2 linked regions of the Diceros bicornis minor genome follow. The protein of the gene in region 2 purifies or fractionates together with the protein of the main gene of each other region. This does not show direct contact. Links are inferred from orthologs where the notes say so. Each region holds a gene or a part of one and is shown on either strand. Other genes may lie near its edges.

Region 1 (7,995 bases), on a different chromosome or scaffold from region 2:
AAACATATCCTGCACATCTTTAGAGCAGAGGAAACACTATCCAGCAACTGACCCTATGAAGTTCTCTAGAAGGATAAGTAAAGAGCAACACAAAGCTTTCCTAAATGAACATACTGTTACTTATATGTACACCTGAATGCTGTTCCTTTCAAAAAAGACACCACAGGAAGTTGCAGACTTATTCTAAAAATGCTGCCATGGCACAAAAGTTTAGACATTTTTCTGAATTGCTTTAGAGTCAGCAGTTCATTCTTCTGAATGCACAGCAGTGGAATAAGGATATTCCTAATTTCAATTTATGCCTTGCTTACTGCCTAGAAAGATTTTAAGCAGCTTATATTAAAAACATTTATGCTTATGTATAAAGGAAAAAACTGTATAGCTTCCCCAGGTGACTTCTCTGAAGGAAGCATTTCTTTAAATATTTATGCTTATAAAGAGAAAAACAAAAGACCATGTGACTTTGTAAGTGCAATTCATATTTAGGGAAGAGGGGAGTCAAACTCCACATCTTCAGTATCAATTCCTCACTTCTCACTCTCAGTGTTTCTAACAGCACAAATAACTGCCTATTTCTAATTCAATTCTGCTTCTTCAACACTAGGCTAGGATGGTACTAACAGAGTTGATCACTTTTCCAAAAGGTGATTTTCAGACAATGTAAGTCTGACCCCTCATATTAAACAGCTGCACAGCTGCCCTAACCCTATCCTTAAGACACAAAAACAGCTTTTCAATCCCACATTCTTATTCAGAGCCTCTGCAAAATGGCCACACTGGAAATCTTGTAGATATAAAAGTGCTTATATTAATTACTTTTTGGTTGTCTCGGTATTTCACTAAATGACACGCACACACGTTAAATGATCTGGTAATGATGAAAACCCTTCACAGATGCTAAGAATCACTTTTTAGTACACCCTATAAAACGTTATTAAAGCTACACAATCAGTCACCTGAAGGAGAATTCAGCCAACTCCTCACGCTCATTAAGATCGGGTCTTCACCCAAGAGATGACAAAAGCTGTAGCTTATCAAACTTAAGCTACTAAACCAGACACTAAGACTGCTTTGTTCCAATTACTATTTTAGTGATTCAAGTGTACTCTTCTACTGCTTCCAATTTCACTTCTACTAGCTGATAAGCAACAATGAACCTTCCTGGCACTACTGGCTCACTACATCCACCTCACCTGAAACTTTTATCACCAGAGGAGAAGAAACAAGTGATTATCCACCAAGGTGTTTCTCTCCACTCAGGCTTCAAACTCATCTTTGAACCCGCTCCAATTTTTTCCGACTTGCTTTCTGGAACAACTGAGAGCACCAAGGGTAACAAACTCAGTGCTCAAGGAGCCCTTGGACTGATGCAATCTTCATGAAAAGGCTTTTCTTTCTTCTGAATACCTATTTATTTTGGAACAAATGGAGCCCCTCTGGAATTTTCACTTTGGGAGTCCGTAACTACATTTCAAAACAAGGATGGTCCTGAACTATCAAACTTAGATTCGAAACAGGTCTGCATATTTTCTTGAAAGTTCACAGGAAAATGGGGTGGGAGAAGCAATAGCAGAAGGACATGAGACAGAAGATACGCAAAATAAGAGCACGTATTGCTCACTCTAGAATGTGGCTGGGGTCGTTTATATCCTTCTGACCTGTGGAAAAAAATTTAATGCCACTCATAAGACACTCACCTTGAGAATTTTTACAACCACTCTCTCATTGTTGGTGATGTTAATGGCCTCAAATACTTCACTATACTTTCCCCGACCAAGTTTTCGAACCAGTTGGTAATCATCTTGATTACTGTGAAAGGCAAGAACGACACATAAATGCCAGGACTTCGGATTAACTAGGCCTATGCCCACTATACACCCCTATCCAGCCGCTTCCATTAATCAAGCACTTGGAAGTGTCTACCTATCACACCACAACTCATTCCCTAAATGAAAGCCACAACACACACTTGGCTGCCTTCACTCTGCTCAGAGCTCCTAACCTAACTGGTCCCTCCTAACTTGGGGAGAGGAGGTAGGAAGGCACCACTCCGAGCCAATCTATAGGGATGAGCAAAGCATCCATCCTTGAGGCGCAGAGGGTGCCCCTCTGCCCGGGGCGCCACAGCACCTGTCTTATCCTTCACACCCTCAAGGCAGCCAGGGCCAGCTTCGAGAATCTGGACAGCTTTGAAAAATTTCCTCCCACCCAGCCTCATTTCAAAAGACTAAAAAGGCCGAGAATTGTAATAGCTCAAGAAGACAGCTGCTGACTTCCCACCCCAATAGAAACCCAAAAGTGTGAGGAGGAAGAGCTCTCTCACTTCCACCAGGCTCTGGTCCCCGGACCCTACACTTCTCGCCGCTAAGAAAGCATTCCTGGGGACACGGGGGAGGGACGGGGGCGCAAGGCGGGGAGAAACGGACGAGAAAGGGGGGAGAGGAAGATGAGCACATGTGTGGGGGGGGCTCTGCCTCCCAGCCCAGAGCCGAGGAAGCACGGGCCCAGCGGAGGAGCGGGCGGGGAGACAGGGCCGGGGGGCGAGTGCGGTTCGCGCTGGGGGGCGGCCGGCGAGGGTGGGGGGCGAGGGGCCGGGCGGGGGGCGGCGGCGGCGGCGTTACCCCCAGCTCGGGACGTGAGCCTCGTAGTCCCAGTACTCGCGGCTCCTCAGGCTGTTCACCTCGGCGTAGACCCGGGCCCTGCTGCCCGCGGCCGGGCCGGGCATGGCGGGCGGGACCGGGGGGCGCCGCGGGGCGCAGAGGGCGGCGGCGGCGGCGGCCCGGCCGGGGGCGCGGGGCGGCGGGCGGAGGAGGCGGCGGGCCGCGGGGCGCCGGAGGAGGAGGAGGAGCGCGGCGGCGGGCGGCCGCGCCAGGCCGGGCCCGCGGGGGCGGGCGGGCTGGGGGCGCGGGGGGCGCCGGCCGAGCCGGCCCGGCCCTGGAGCGGCCGGCGGGGCGGCGGGGCGGGCGGCGCTCGCGCTCCTCGGCGGCCTCCGCTCGGCTCGCGGCCCCGAAGCGGCGGCGGCGGCGGTGGCACCAGCAGCGGCAGCCGCCGGCCGGGAAAGGGGCAGCGGCGGCCGCGGCGGCGGCGAAGGAGGAGGAGGAGGAGGAGGAGGAGGAGAAGGAGGAGGAAATCCGGAAAAGGGGCCGCGCTCACTAGGAGCGGCCGCCGCCCGGCCCGGGGCCGCCCAGCTCACAGCGCCCCCTGCAGTGCGGGGGGACCTGCCGGGCGCGCCGGCCCCGCCCCCGGCCCCCCGCCGTCCGCAGCCCCCTCCAAATCTGCCCATCTTCGGTCTGGTCGCACGCGCTCGCCAAAGGGCCTCCCCAACCCACAGGCTGCTGCCCTGAAGCTTTACCCTCCGTGTACCCTTTCAGGACTTCCCTGGACACTCCTACCCCAAGCTCTCTACCCTCTAGTCATCCAGAATTTACCCACCCGACCTCCCATAGACCCTATTCTGACCCTCCTGTCACCCAAACTATTCCCATCAAGTGCCTCCCCAATGACTGGCTTTTATCATTCAGAGTCTCCCCACCTCAAGATTTGTCCATCCCTCCCAGAGACCCCTCCCCTTCCCCCAATGGACCCTGTCCTGTCACCCATAGACTCCTCAACCCCAAGACTTCCCCACTCTTTTCATCTAGAGCCTTCCTCACAAACCCTCCAACCCACCCCCAGCCAGCCAGGTTTCTCACTGTAAAGTTCCTATTTTTCCCTTTGTAATTAATAATCAATCTGTGGGGAGATACTTTGAGACTGTGTGAATACCCTGGTTTCGTTTGGGAGGATGGAGAGCAGGAGAATCATGAGAGTCCCGCCTGAAGGGACAGGCTGGGGGTTGGGCATGGACTGAAGGTGGAGCAGCCAACCAAACTTTAGCCTATTTTATGTTGCCTTCTAGGCCAGAACTCTCTTCTCTCTTTGATCTTCTGGGCCGTTCTTTTGTCTTGCTTTCCCATCCCACATCCTTTATCAGCGGAACTTCTTCACTCAGTCCAGGTTGCTCTGATTCCAATCCTTTTTCACTTTCTATTTTCTAGGTGAGACCTTGCTTCCTCCTTCTTAATGTAGTTAAGAGCACAGACTGTGGAGTCAGATCCATCCAGATTTGAATCCCAGCTCTGCTACTTACAAGCTGTGTGACCTTGGGCTAATAACTGAATGTCTCGGTGCTGCAGATTTTACAGCATGAAGATAGTAATGGCAGGGCTGGCTGAGTGGTGTAGTGGTTAAGTTCTCACACTTCGGTGGCCTGGGGTTCACAGGTTCGGATCCCAGGCGTGGACTTATGCATGCCGCTCATCAAGCCACGCTGTGGCGGCATCCCACATACAAAATAAAGGAAGATGAGCACAGATGTTAGCTCAGGGCTAATTTTCCTCAGCAAAAAGAGGAGGATTGGCAATGAATGTTAGCTCAGAGCCAGTTTTCCTCATACACACACACACAAGTAGTAATGGCACCTACTTCACAGGGCTATGGAGAGAATTAGACAAAGTAAACCATGTGAAATACTTAGAACAGTGTTTAGCAGATACTAAGTGTTCAACATTATTATTACCAGACCCAGGGCCTTTCTCCTATCGCTTTGCCCTCCCTTAGACCACCACATGCCCATCTTTCAGTTCCTTCCACCCTCCAAGGTTGACCAAGGCCACCTCCACTCCCTCCACCCCCACTTTCCCACGGCTGACTCCTTTTTCCTCTTCAAGTCTCACCTTTAAGCTCACTTTAAGTGTTAGAGTTGATACTTCTCTTATCTCAGCACCCTATCTCCATCCTTCAGAAACCTGCCTATTTTGTAATTATTTGTTTGTTTCCTAGGTTATTGTCTGCCTCTGGCACTGTAAAAACAGCCTGAGAGAGAGGACAGAGTTGGGTGTTTACCATTGGCTCACCCAGCATTTGCCTCAGTTGGAGGCTTTAAACAAATACAATGTTACCCCACAGATCACCTATTAATTTCAAAGGGGAGCCTGGAGGTCACCACTTTAACCATGAATCAAACTTAACATCATCAATAAGGGGCCAACAGACCCTCTGATGTGAGGCACCAAGAAGGGATGCAACATTTGCCAAAAATGCTTAACTTGAATCTAATCATGGAAAACACAGACAAATCCAAACTAGGGAACATTCTACAAAACAGCCTGAACTTTTCCAAAATGTCAATGTCACAAGCAAAAACAAAACAAAACTCTGGAGTAGTGTTCTTGATTAAAGGAGCCTGAGAGAGAGAACTAAATGAAGTATCTAATTCTGGATTTGATCCTGGATGAAAAAGTAGGAAGGAAAGGAGGGATGGAAGGAGGCAGGGAAGGAGAAAGAATAAAGCTAAAAGGACACTATTGGGACTACTGGGGAAATTTGAATATAGGATGTATGTTCCATAATAGTATTGTTTCAATGTTAAGTTTGGTGAGTGTGGGGATTATGTTGTGGTTATGAAGGAGAATCTCTTGATTTTAGGAGTTACATGCCAAGTGTTTAGGGATGAAGTATCATAATATCTGCATCTTACTCTCAAATGGTAAGGAAAGTCTCCAGGAAAACATGGGTTCCTGAGAGCACGAGCATCCATGAGGAGAGCGGAGTAATTAGGGAGAAATGTTGACAATTGGAGACTACATGAGCTTGCAACTTTTTGGTAGATTTGAACATTTTAAAAATAAAAACTGGAAGAAACTAAATAAAGCATTTGTGGAATAACTGGACTTTACAATTTAATTCCCAAACCCACAGACCTCCCTAAATCTCTTTTACTAGAGAAGACACAAACATTCTCAAGCTCTTAATGCAGCCTTAGGATTTCTTTCTGACAAGTCTCTGTAAACTAGTCTAGACCAGAAGGTCTTTTCTTTTTTTTTGCAGGGAAAGATTCGCCCTGAGCTAACATCTGTTGCCAATCTTCCTCTTTTTTTCCCTCCCCAAAGCCCCAGTGCATAGTTGTACATCCCAGTTCTAAGTCCTTCTAGTTCTTCTATGTGAGCCGCTGCCACAGCATGGCAACTGACAGATGGGTGGTGTGTTCTGCAACTGGGAAGCGAACCTGGGCCGCCGAAGCTGTAAGAGTGCTGAACTTCAACCACTAGGCCATCAGGGCTGGCTCTAGCCCAGAAGTTCTTAATCCTGGGCCTTGGATGAACTTCCTGGGTTTCAGGAAACCCTGACGTTGTGTGCAAAATTTGTGGTGTGTGTGTCTGTGTGTGTGTGTGTGTGTGTGTGTGTGAGCGCACGCACGCATTCTTTCCTCAGCATCCATCAGATGCTCAAAGGACGCCATGACCCAAAAATGGTTCCAAAGCACTGGTCTAACTACTAGGACCAACCCTGACTGGGGCCCCGTTCCTCACCTCCACCCTGGTGCACCTCTGACCCCACCCACCCTTCCTGCACCTTCCTCTCATCCCTCACCACCTAACCCACACCCATCTCACGTAACCTGCTCCCACACCTGCCAGGATGCCTCAGGATTCACCCACACATCACTCTGGTGCAACGTGCTCCTGGGTTTGGCTGACACTTCGCTAACTCTGCCCTAAAACCTGCAGTCAGTCTTCCCACAGCCAAATGGAGTATGTTTTTACAATTTGTTAGTAGGTAGGTTGGGTACCCCATGGAGTTGGCGGAGACCCACTGCCTCTCTTTCCTGCCAGCCTGTCAGGCAGCATGCTTGGTGTAATTAATTAGATGGGCAGTTGGAGATGGTACCAATGCAACACTCGCTGAAGGAGTGAGTCTCATTGGATATGGAGAGGGACAGGCTGGTGGCTCTGCAAGGGTGGGTGACAGGGCAGGGAGGTTCAGTAAACCAGAATCGACTTCCCCTAATTACTGTGTGTGTGGGTTTGGGGTGAGTGTAATTCAGGGTTACACAAGGGAGAAGGCATGAGGGCTTCTTGAGTCAAATAGCCCAACAATTTCATACCAAATTCTATCCAAACATATACACACACACAAAACCCAAAAAACAAAAATTTAAAACCTCCAGAGGAACACCTTCTATCTTCACAGGGCTTATTTCCAAAACCTTTGAGAGGTTTATAGGTTTTTATCCCATATTTCTGGTTCTAAGAACCTAGCCTAAGAAAATAGTGTAAGTCACCATCAAAGAATTATTAATAGTAATGACAATTTGTGTGTTCAATATCATCAAATCCTGCAAAAACCCTGAGGCTCAAAACCACTGAATTTACACTTTAAATGGGTAAATTGTATGCTATGTGAATTATATCTCAAGAAAACTGTTTAAAAAAAATCCTATGATTGAGCCAGCCCTGGTTGCCTAATGGTTCAAGTTCGACATGCTCCACTTCGGCAGCCTGGTTTCGGTTCCCAGGTGTGGAACCACACCACTTGTCTGTCAGTAGCCATGCTCTGGCTGCTCACATAGAAGAACTAGAAGGATCTACAACTAGAATATACACCTGTGTACTGGGGCTTTTGGGAGAAAAAGAAAAGATATAAAAAAAATCATGTGATATTGGAGCTGTTGAAAGGATCCCATTTCCGCAGTTTAGTTATCTAAGACTTCAGTGATGGATAATTGAGGCGGAATCTGGATTTGAACTCAGGTCTTTCTCACCACGAAATCCATTTCCTTAGTCTTTTTCTGATTCAATATACTCCCAAAAAGGGCCAAAGATATTCATTATGAAAATCATCTTTAATCATGAAAATGTAAAACAACATAAATATCCCCAATTGGGAGATCAGTTAAATAAATTGTGGTACATCCCTACAGTGAAATATTAGGCATCATTAAAAATTATGATGACCAGGAATTTTTAGTGATGAGAAAAAATTTATTATATAAGAGTTTTTTAATGAGTGTTTTTACAAAGTGACACAAGTAATTGTGGTGAGCAGGATAACGCTCCTTCTGCCCCTCAAAGATACCTACTTCCTAATCCCTGGATCCTGTGAATATGCTACCTTACATGGAAAAAGGGACTTTGCAGATGGGATTAGGAATTTGAGATGGGGAGATTATCCTGG
Region 2 (8,004 bases):
CTCTTGGATTGGAAGAATTAACATAGCTAAGATATCCATACTTCCTAAAGCAATCTATAGATTCAATCCCTATCAAACTTCCAACAACATTTTTCACAGAAATAGAACAAAGAATCCTAAAATTTATATGGAACAACAAAAGACCCCGAATAGGTAAAGGAATCCTGAGAAAAAAGAACAAAGCGGAGGTATCACACTCCCTGATTTCAAAATATACTACAAAGATATAGTAACCAAAACAACATGGTACTGGCAGAAAAACAGACACACAGATCAATGGAATAGAATTGAAAGCCCAGAAATAAACCCACACATCTATGGACAGCTAATCTTCAACAAAGGAGCCAAGAACATACAATGGAGAAAAGAAAGTCTCTTCAACAAATGGTGTTGGGAAAACTGGACAGCCACATGCAAAAAAATGAAAGTAGACCCTTACCTTACACCATACACAAAAATTAATTCAAAATGGATTAAAGACTTGAATGTAAGACCTGAAACTATGACACTTCTAGAAGAAAACATACGCAGTACGCTCTTCAACATCGGTCTTAGCAACATATTTTCAAGCATGTCTGACCGGGCAAGAGAAACAATAGAAAAAATAAACAAATGGGACTACATCAAACTAAAAATCTTCTGCACAGCAAAGGAAACCATCAACAAAACGAAAAGACAACCTAACAATTGGGAGAAGATATTTGCAAACCATACATCTGATAAGGGCTTAATCTCCAAAATATACAAACAACTCATGCATCTCAACAACAAAAAAACTACCAACCCAAATCAAAAATGTGCAAAAGACCTGAACAGACGTTTCTCCAAAGGAGATATACAGATGACCAACAGGCACATGAAAAGATGTTCAACATCATTAATTATCAGGGAAATGCAACTCAAAACTACAATGAGATATCACCTCACGCCCGTCAGAATGGCTATAATTAACAAGACAGGAAACAACATGTGTTGGAGAGGATGTGGAGAGAAGGGAACTCTCATACACTGCTGGTGGGATTGCAAACTAGTGCAGCCACTATGGAAAACAGTTTGGAGATTCCTCAAAAAATTAAGGATAGAACTACCATATGATCCAGCTATTCCATTGCTGGGTATTTACCCAAAGAACTTGAAAACACCAATGCATAAAGATACATGCACCCCTGTGTTCATTGCAGCGTTATTCACAACAGCCAAGACCTGGAAGCAACCTAAGTGCCCATCAAGGGACGAATGGATAAAGAAGATGTGGTATATATACACAATGGACTACTACTCAGCCATAAGAAACGATGAAATCCAGCCATTTGTGACAACATGGATGGACATTGAGGGTATTATGCAAAGTGAAATAAGTCAGAGGGAGAAGCTCAAATACTGTATGATCTCCTTCATTAAGTAGTAGGTAACAACAACAACAAACAAACACATAGAGACAGAGATTGGATTGGTGGTTACCAGAGGGGAAGGGGTAGGGATGATGGCGAAAGGGATAATTCAGCACGTGTGTGTGGTGATGGGTTGTAATTGGTATTTGGGTGGTGAACATGATGTAATCTATGCAGAAATAGAAGTATAATGATGTACACCTGAAATTTATACAATGTTATAAACCAGTTACTGCAATAAACAAAAAATTAAAATAAATAAATAAATTGGTTGCATTTCTATACACTAATAATGAACTAAGAGAAAGAGACCTCAAGAAGACAATCACATTTACAAATGCAACAAAAAGAATAAAGTATCTAGGAATAATTTTTGTTGTTGTTGTTAGGAAGATCAGCCCTGAGCCAACATCCATACCAATACTCCCCTTTTTGCTGAGGAAGACCGGCTCTGAGCTAACATCTATTGCCAATCCTCATCCTTTTTTTCCCCAAAGCCCCAGTAGATAGCTGTACGTCATAGTTGCACATCCTTCTAGTTAGTGCATGTGGGATGCGGCCTCAGCATGGCCGGAGAAGTGGTGCGTTGGTGCGTGCCCGGGATCCGAACCCGGGGTGCCAGTAGCGGAGCGTGCACACTTAACCGCCAAGCCATGGGTCGGCCCTCTAGGAATAAATTTAACCAACAAGGTGAAAGACCTATACAATGAAAACTATTAAGACATTATTGGGGCTGGCCTGGTGGTGCAAGTGGTTAAGTGCACGCGCTCCGCTGCGGCAGCCCAGGGTTCGCCGGTTCAGATCCCAGGTGCGCACTGACGCACTGCTTGTCAAGCCATGCTGTGGTGGCGTCCCATATAAAGTAGAGGAAGATGGGCATGGATGTTAGCCCAGGGCCAGTCTTCCTCAGCAAAGGAGGATTGGCAGATGTTAGCTCAGGGCCGAGCTTCCTCACAAAAAAAAAAAACAAAAAAAGACATTATTGAAAGAAATCAATGATGACATAAAGAAATAGAAAGATATCCCATGTACATGGACTGGAAGAATAAACATAGTTAAAATGTCCATACTACCTAAAGCAATCTACAGATTCGATGCAATCCCAATCAGAATCCCAATGACATTCTTCACAGAAATAGAACAGAGAATACTAAAATTTATACGGTGCAACAAAAGATCTCAAATAGTTAAAGCAATCCTGAGAAAAAAGAACAAAGATGGAGGCATCACAATCCCTGTCTTCAAAATATACTAAAAGCTATAATATTTTTTGTGTGTGAGGAAGATCAGCCCTGAGCTAACATTTGCCAATCCTCCTCTTTTTGCTGAGGAAGACTGGCCCTGGGCTAACATCCGTGCCCATCTTCCTCCACTTTATATGGGGCGCCACCACAGCATGGCTTGACAAGCAGTGCGTTGGTGCGCGCCTGGGATCTAAAACCCTGGCCGCTGCAGCAAAGCACGCACACTTAACTGCTACGCCACCAGGCCGGCCCCAAAGCTATAATATTTAAAACAGCATGGTACTGGTACAAAAACAGACACACAGATCAACGGAACAGAATTGAGAGCCCAGAATCTATGGACAGCTAATTTTTGACAAGGGTGCCAAGAACATACAGTAGAGAAAAGAAAGTCTCTTCAATAAATGGTGTTGGGAAAACTGGACAGCCACATGCAAAAGAATGAAAGTAGACCATTATCTTATATCATACACAAAAATTAACTCAAAATGGATTAAAGACTTGAATGTAAGACCTGAAACCATGAAACTTCTAGAAGAAAACATAGGCAGTATGCTCTTTGACATTGGTCTTAGCAACACATTTTCAAGCACCATGTCTGACCAGCCAAGGTAAACAATAGAAATAATAAACAAATGAGACTACATCAAACTATAAAGCTTCTGCACAGCAAAGGAAACCATCAACAAATCGAAAAGACATCCTAACAATTGGGAGAAGATATTTGCAAACCATACATCTCATAAGGGGTTAATATCCAAAATATATAAAGAACTCATACATCTCAACACCAAAAAACCAACAAGCCAATTAAAAAATGGGCAAAAGATCTGAACAGACATTTCTCCAACAAAGATATAAAGATGGCCAACAGGCACGTGAAAAGATGTTCAACATCATTAACTATCAGAGAAATGCAAATCAAAACTACAATGAGATATCACCTCACATCCGTCAGAATGGCTATAATTGACAACACAAGAAATAACAAGTGTTGGAGAGGATGTGGAGAGAAGGGAACTCTCATACACTGCTGGTGGGAGTGCAAACTGGTGCAGCCACTATGGAAAACAGTATGGAGATTCCTCAAAAAATTAAGAATAGAACTGCCATACAATCCAGCTATTCCACTGCTGGGTATTTATCCAAAGAACATGAAAACATGAATGCATAAAGATACATGCACCCCTGTGTTCACTGCAGCATTATTCACAATAGCCAAGACTTGGAAGCAACCTAAGTGCCCATCAAGGGACGAATGGATAAAGAAGACGTGTTATATACACACAATGGAATATTGCTCAGCCATCAAAAAGGTGAAATCCTGCCACGTGCGACAACATGGATGGACCTTGAGGGTATTATGCTAAGCGAAATAAGTCAGAAAGAGAAAGTCAAATACCGTATGATCTCACTCATAAACAGAAGATAAAAACAACAACAAACAAACACATACCAGACAGAGATTAGATTGGTGGTTATCAGAGGTGAAGGGGGAAGGGAGGAGAGCGAAAGGGGTGACTGCACACATGTGTATGGTGATGGATGGTAATTAGTCTTTGGGTGGTGAACATGATGTAGGTTTCATACAGAAATCGAAATATGATGTACACTTGAAAATTATATAATGTTATAAACCAATGTTACTGCAATAAAAAGGACAAAAAAAATAAAAACAGTACAAAATATATAGAAATAATATCCATCAACCATGTATTGCTGAGCTAGCATATGATGGGACTAGTTTAAGGGGCTGGACGAGGAGGAGGTTACAAATTCCTTTTGCTGGAGCACACTGGTGGCGATAGGTGGTTGGGGGATAAATATGCAGTTTTTCTCTGGGCTGCGAACTTAATTGGAGTGTATCAGGCTCAAGTCATTAACACAGAATTTGTGCCCTCTAAGCTAACTGGGCAATATGTGGCTTAGACATCATAGCTCACCACCAATATCGATAAACCCTCCTTATTTTGCTTGGGATCGGAAAGGAAAAAGTGTGTGTTTTTGTGTGTGTGTGTGTGTGTGTGTGTGTGTATACTCCTACATACATACATGTACACATAAACATATAAGTATATAAAATTACATAGGCTTTGTTGTTCATACGGCTGCTCAGCGAAATGTGTCCCGTGGCCTGTCGTCCTTTCCTTCAGGCATTTCAACTCGAGGCTGAAGAGAGCACAAGGTCTCTAGTACAGCTTAGACTTGAGGAGCCTCACTCGGAAGAGGAAGAGTGCGCGGACTCGGTTGCCTCACCGGCTACTTTATACCGATACACACATCCTGTCCTGTAGGCAGGACCACCTAGGTCTGGGGAAGGGATTTGCCGACGTACCCGGAAGTGTTTTCAAGGTTCCTTCAGGTTCGGGTAGTGGCGCGGCGGCGGGTTCTGGGAGCCAAGGCAACCGAGATCTTCCCAGGCTCGCGAGAGCGCCCCCTTCTCCCGCTGCTGCGGGGACCCAGCGGCAGCGATGGCTCCGGTGTCCGGCTCGCGCAGCCCGGAGCGGGAGGCCTCGGGCTCTGGGGGGAGGCGTCGCAGTCCGTCGAAGAGCCCTAAACCCAGCAAATCCGCCCGCTCCCCCCGGGGCCGCCGGTCTCGCTCGCACTCTTGCTCTCGGTCCGGGGACCGGAACGGCCTCAGCCATCAGCTGAGTGGCCTCAGCCAAGGCTCCAGAAACCAGTCCTACAGATCCCGCTCGCGCTCCCGCTCCCGCGAGCGGCCCTCTGCGCCGCGGGGCAACCCTTTCGCTTCTGCCTCCTCGTCCGCCTATTATGGCGGCTACTCACGCCCCTACGGGAATGACAAGCCGTGGCCTAGCCTCCTGGATAAGGAGAGGGAGGAGAGTCTACGGCAGAAGTGAGTGAGACGCACCTTCTCTTCCATGAGCCCACCTGTCATCGGAGTCCGATTTATTGTTCATCCCGCTTCTGACTATTCGCATTTCGCTCTCTCTGCCTGCCTTGCGCCCATTTTCATCCCTTCCTTCAATCCACCCAGGACAACACCTTATTCGCCCTCTTCTTCCCTTAGGTTCTCGAGCCCCTTCATGCAGTGCCCTGGTCTCCCGCTGCCCCATTCTGCCTCCTGGCTTGTAGCGGGCATAGCCAAGAGTCTCAGACCTACCGAATTTTATAGCATTTTCTTGGTTGTGTCGTTGTCATTCATGAGCATGTTTTTATTCCCCACTAGACTGAGCTCATGGAAAGGAGGAGCCCTATTTTATTGCTCACAAAACTCACAGTGCTCAGCACTTTGTAGGCGCAACCATTGCTTGTTGAATGATCAGACAGGTTTGAGATGATAACAGGATATGTAAGTGGAAATGCTTTGTAACAAGTTGAGAAAGGTTGAGATTAAGTTAGATTAGGGAGGAGGAAAACCTCTGAGACAAGATGATTGAATGAATGTAGGAACTGTAAATTAGGCTACGTTGAGAAAGGTCTTGTTAATAGGTCTCAATCTTGACCATGAAAAATGAGGTCAGAGTGAGATCAGGTCTCCTCTAATGAGAGTGAGTATTGGAGTGAAAAATGGATAGTTTAAGAAGGAGAAAGGAAAAGGGTTATAATTATTGCTGTGTAAGCCTTAATATCTAATGCTTATTGAGTGTTAAATTATGTCAGGCACTGTACTATGTGCTTTACAGACACTATGTGTTAAAAAACAAGAAATTTAAAAGTAGTATTACAAGCACTGAGGCACAGGTTAAGTTTCCAAGAGCTGGAAGGTGTCTTCAAGAATCTTTTTCTTCCAGGAGTGGGAAGTAATAAAGCACAGTAATGAAGAGGACAAGCTCCAGAATGAGACTGCCTGAGTTTGAAGCCGTGCTTTGCTACTTAATAGTTTCGTGACCTCTCTGAGCTTCATTTCTTCCCCATTTAAAAGGGGATAAAATTAGCAAGAAGGCTTTTAGAGTTGTAATGATTTAGTGCCTGGAGCATAATAGAGTCTTTAAGTGTCAGCTGTTAGAGTTTTGTGCATTGGAGCAGCAACAGTACAAACAGGCCTGAGTTAGGTTGGAGACCTACCTCTCCAAATTAAATTTTTCAGAAAGTTACCCCTGGCTGTGTCAGTCAAAAAGCAACCAGCTTCTTAGTGGACAGTCTTCACCAAAAGATGTCGGAAATTCTTGGATGAAATTTGCATTTGTCCGTTTAGAAGAAAATTTAACTTAAGGGTACACATGAAGCCAGGTGGCAGCAGGGGTGAGAACTTCATTGCTTGCTCTTTCCAGCCTGTCAAGCATTCTTCCCCTATATGCGTATATTCCAGGTTCTGTTATAAGTATGTCCTCTTTTAGACTGTCTGTTTCTTCAAGTGGAAAACCTGAGTCTGACGCTGCATGATTATAGCTTTTCCTCTGAATAAAGAAGTAAAAAAATAGTTTGTTCAATCAAACCAATTATATTTATTTTGTAAGTTGTTTTTTTTAATGAAGTTACAAGCGGCTAAACTTGGAGGAATTGAGCCTTAGTTTTTTTGTGGTTTGTTTGTTTATGAGTAATAGCAAAAATTAAAAGAAGAAATCACAAACATAAAACAAGAAAAAAATTTTAGTGTCCTCCAAGAGTAGACGGAGAATGTACTCCTTTTCCAAAAAGGAATTAAAGAGAAAACGAACCCTGTGTTTCACTGAGTACAATTTTTGTCAAATAAAACTTTTCTTTCATTTTCAGAGCCCCCTTTATTTTCTACTTCTAATGCTTCATTTTTAGTTTCTTCATTAATTCCTGAGTTTCTGAAAATGGAAGATTTGACCAAATCAAAAATAAAGACTTCTCTTTCATAAATATGTGTAAACAAATGAAATTATTTGCAAATGTAAAACTGTTTCTGTCACATACTGGAAAAGATGAAATGAGCAATTAGGAGCTATGTCATGCGTGCAGCAGAAGGGATGCACTTGACAACCTCCCAGGCTGCATTTCTAGCCCGGCTGTTCAGGCTGTCTGTAATCTGTACCATTTGATAGTGCTATCAGAACATCAGATCCTAAGTGTTGAGTTTACATTTAAACCAAGTTTTTATTAATTTAAGTTTAAAATGTAAAGGGAAAATAGGATTTAACTGCACTCCTTTGATTTTGATTATATATTTAGGAAACAGAATTTAGCCATGGAGTTATAATTTACATGCCTGTATCTTCTAGGAGATTAAGTGAGAGAGAGAGAATTGGAGAATTGGGAGCTCCTGAAGTATGGGGACTTTCTCCAAAGAATCCAGAACCAGAGTAAGTGATTAAAAATATATATTTTTTTAAATGTAACGCTTAAATCCAGAATCTGTTGTCAAAATTTTTGTTAAGTGAAGTACAGCTCACATTTAAGTACAGCTCGCATTTTTTTCTTCTTTCCTGTGATTTATGCTA

Evidence for each region. The genes of interacting proteins can lie anywhere in the genome.
Region 1: the proteins of NKAP (region 2) and CSNK2A2 purify together in Homo sapiens (affinity purification with mass spectrometry; 5 studies listed by BioGRID and IntAct, counting the BioPlex papers as one, with this or other methods). This does not show direct contact. The link is inferred for Diceros bicornis minor from reciprocal best matches to the Homo sapiens genes NKAP and CSNK2A2.

Annotation. Positions count from the first base shown.
Region 1 is NC_080771.1:11,518,473-11,526,467, forward strand, and holds the start of CSNK2A2 (casein kinase II subunit alpha'), read right to left. Parts: upstream 3,008-7,995; 5' UTR 2,726-3,007; coding exon 2,622-2,725; intron 1,810-2,621; coding exon 1,698-1,809; intron 1-1,697.
Region 2 is NC_080781.1:110,402,503-110,410,506, reverse strand, and holds the start of NKAP (NF-kappa-B-activating protein), read left to right. Parts: upstream 1-4,995; 5' UTR 4,996-5,106; coding exon 5,107-5,492; intron 5,493-7,785; coding exon 7,786-7,866; intron 7,867-8,004. UniProt on the Homo sapiens protein: Acts as a transcriptional repressor. Plays a role as a transcriptional corepressor of the Notch-mediated signaling required for T-cell development. Also involved in the TNF and IL-1 induced NF-kappa-B activation.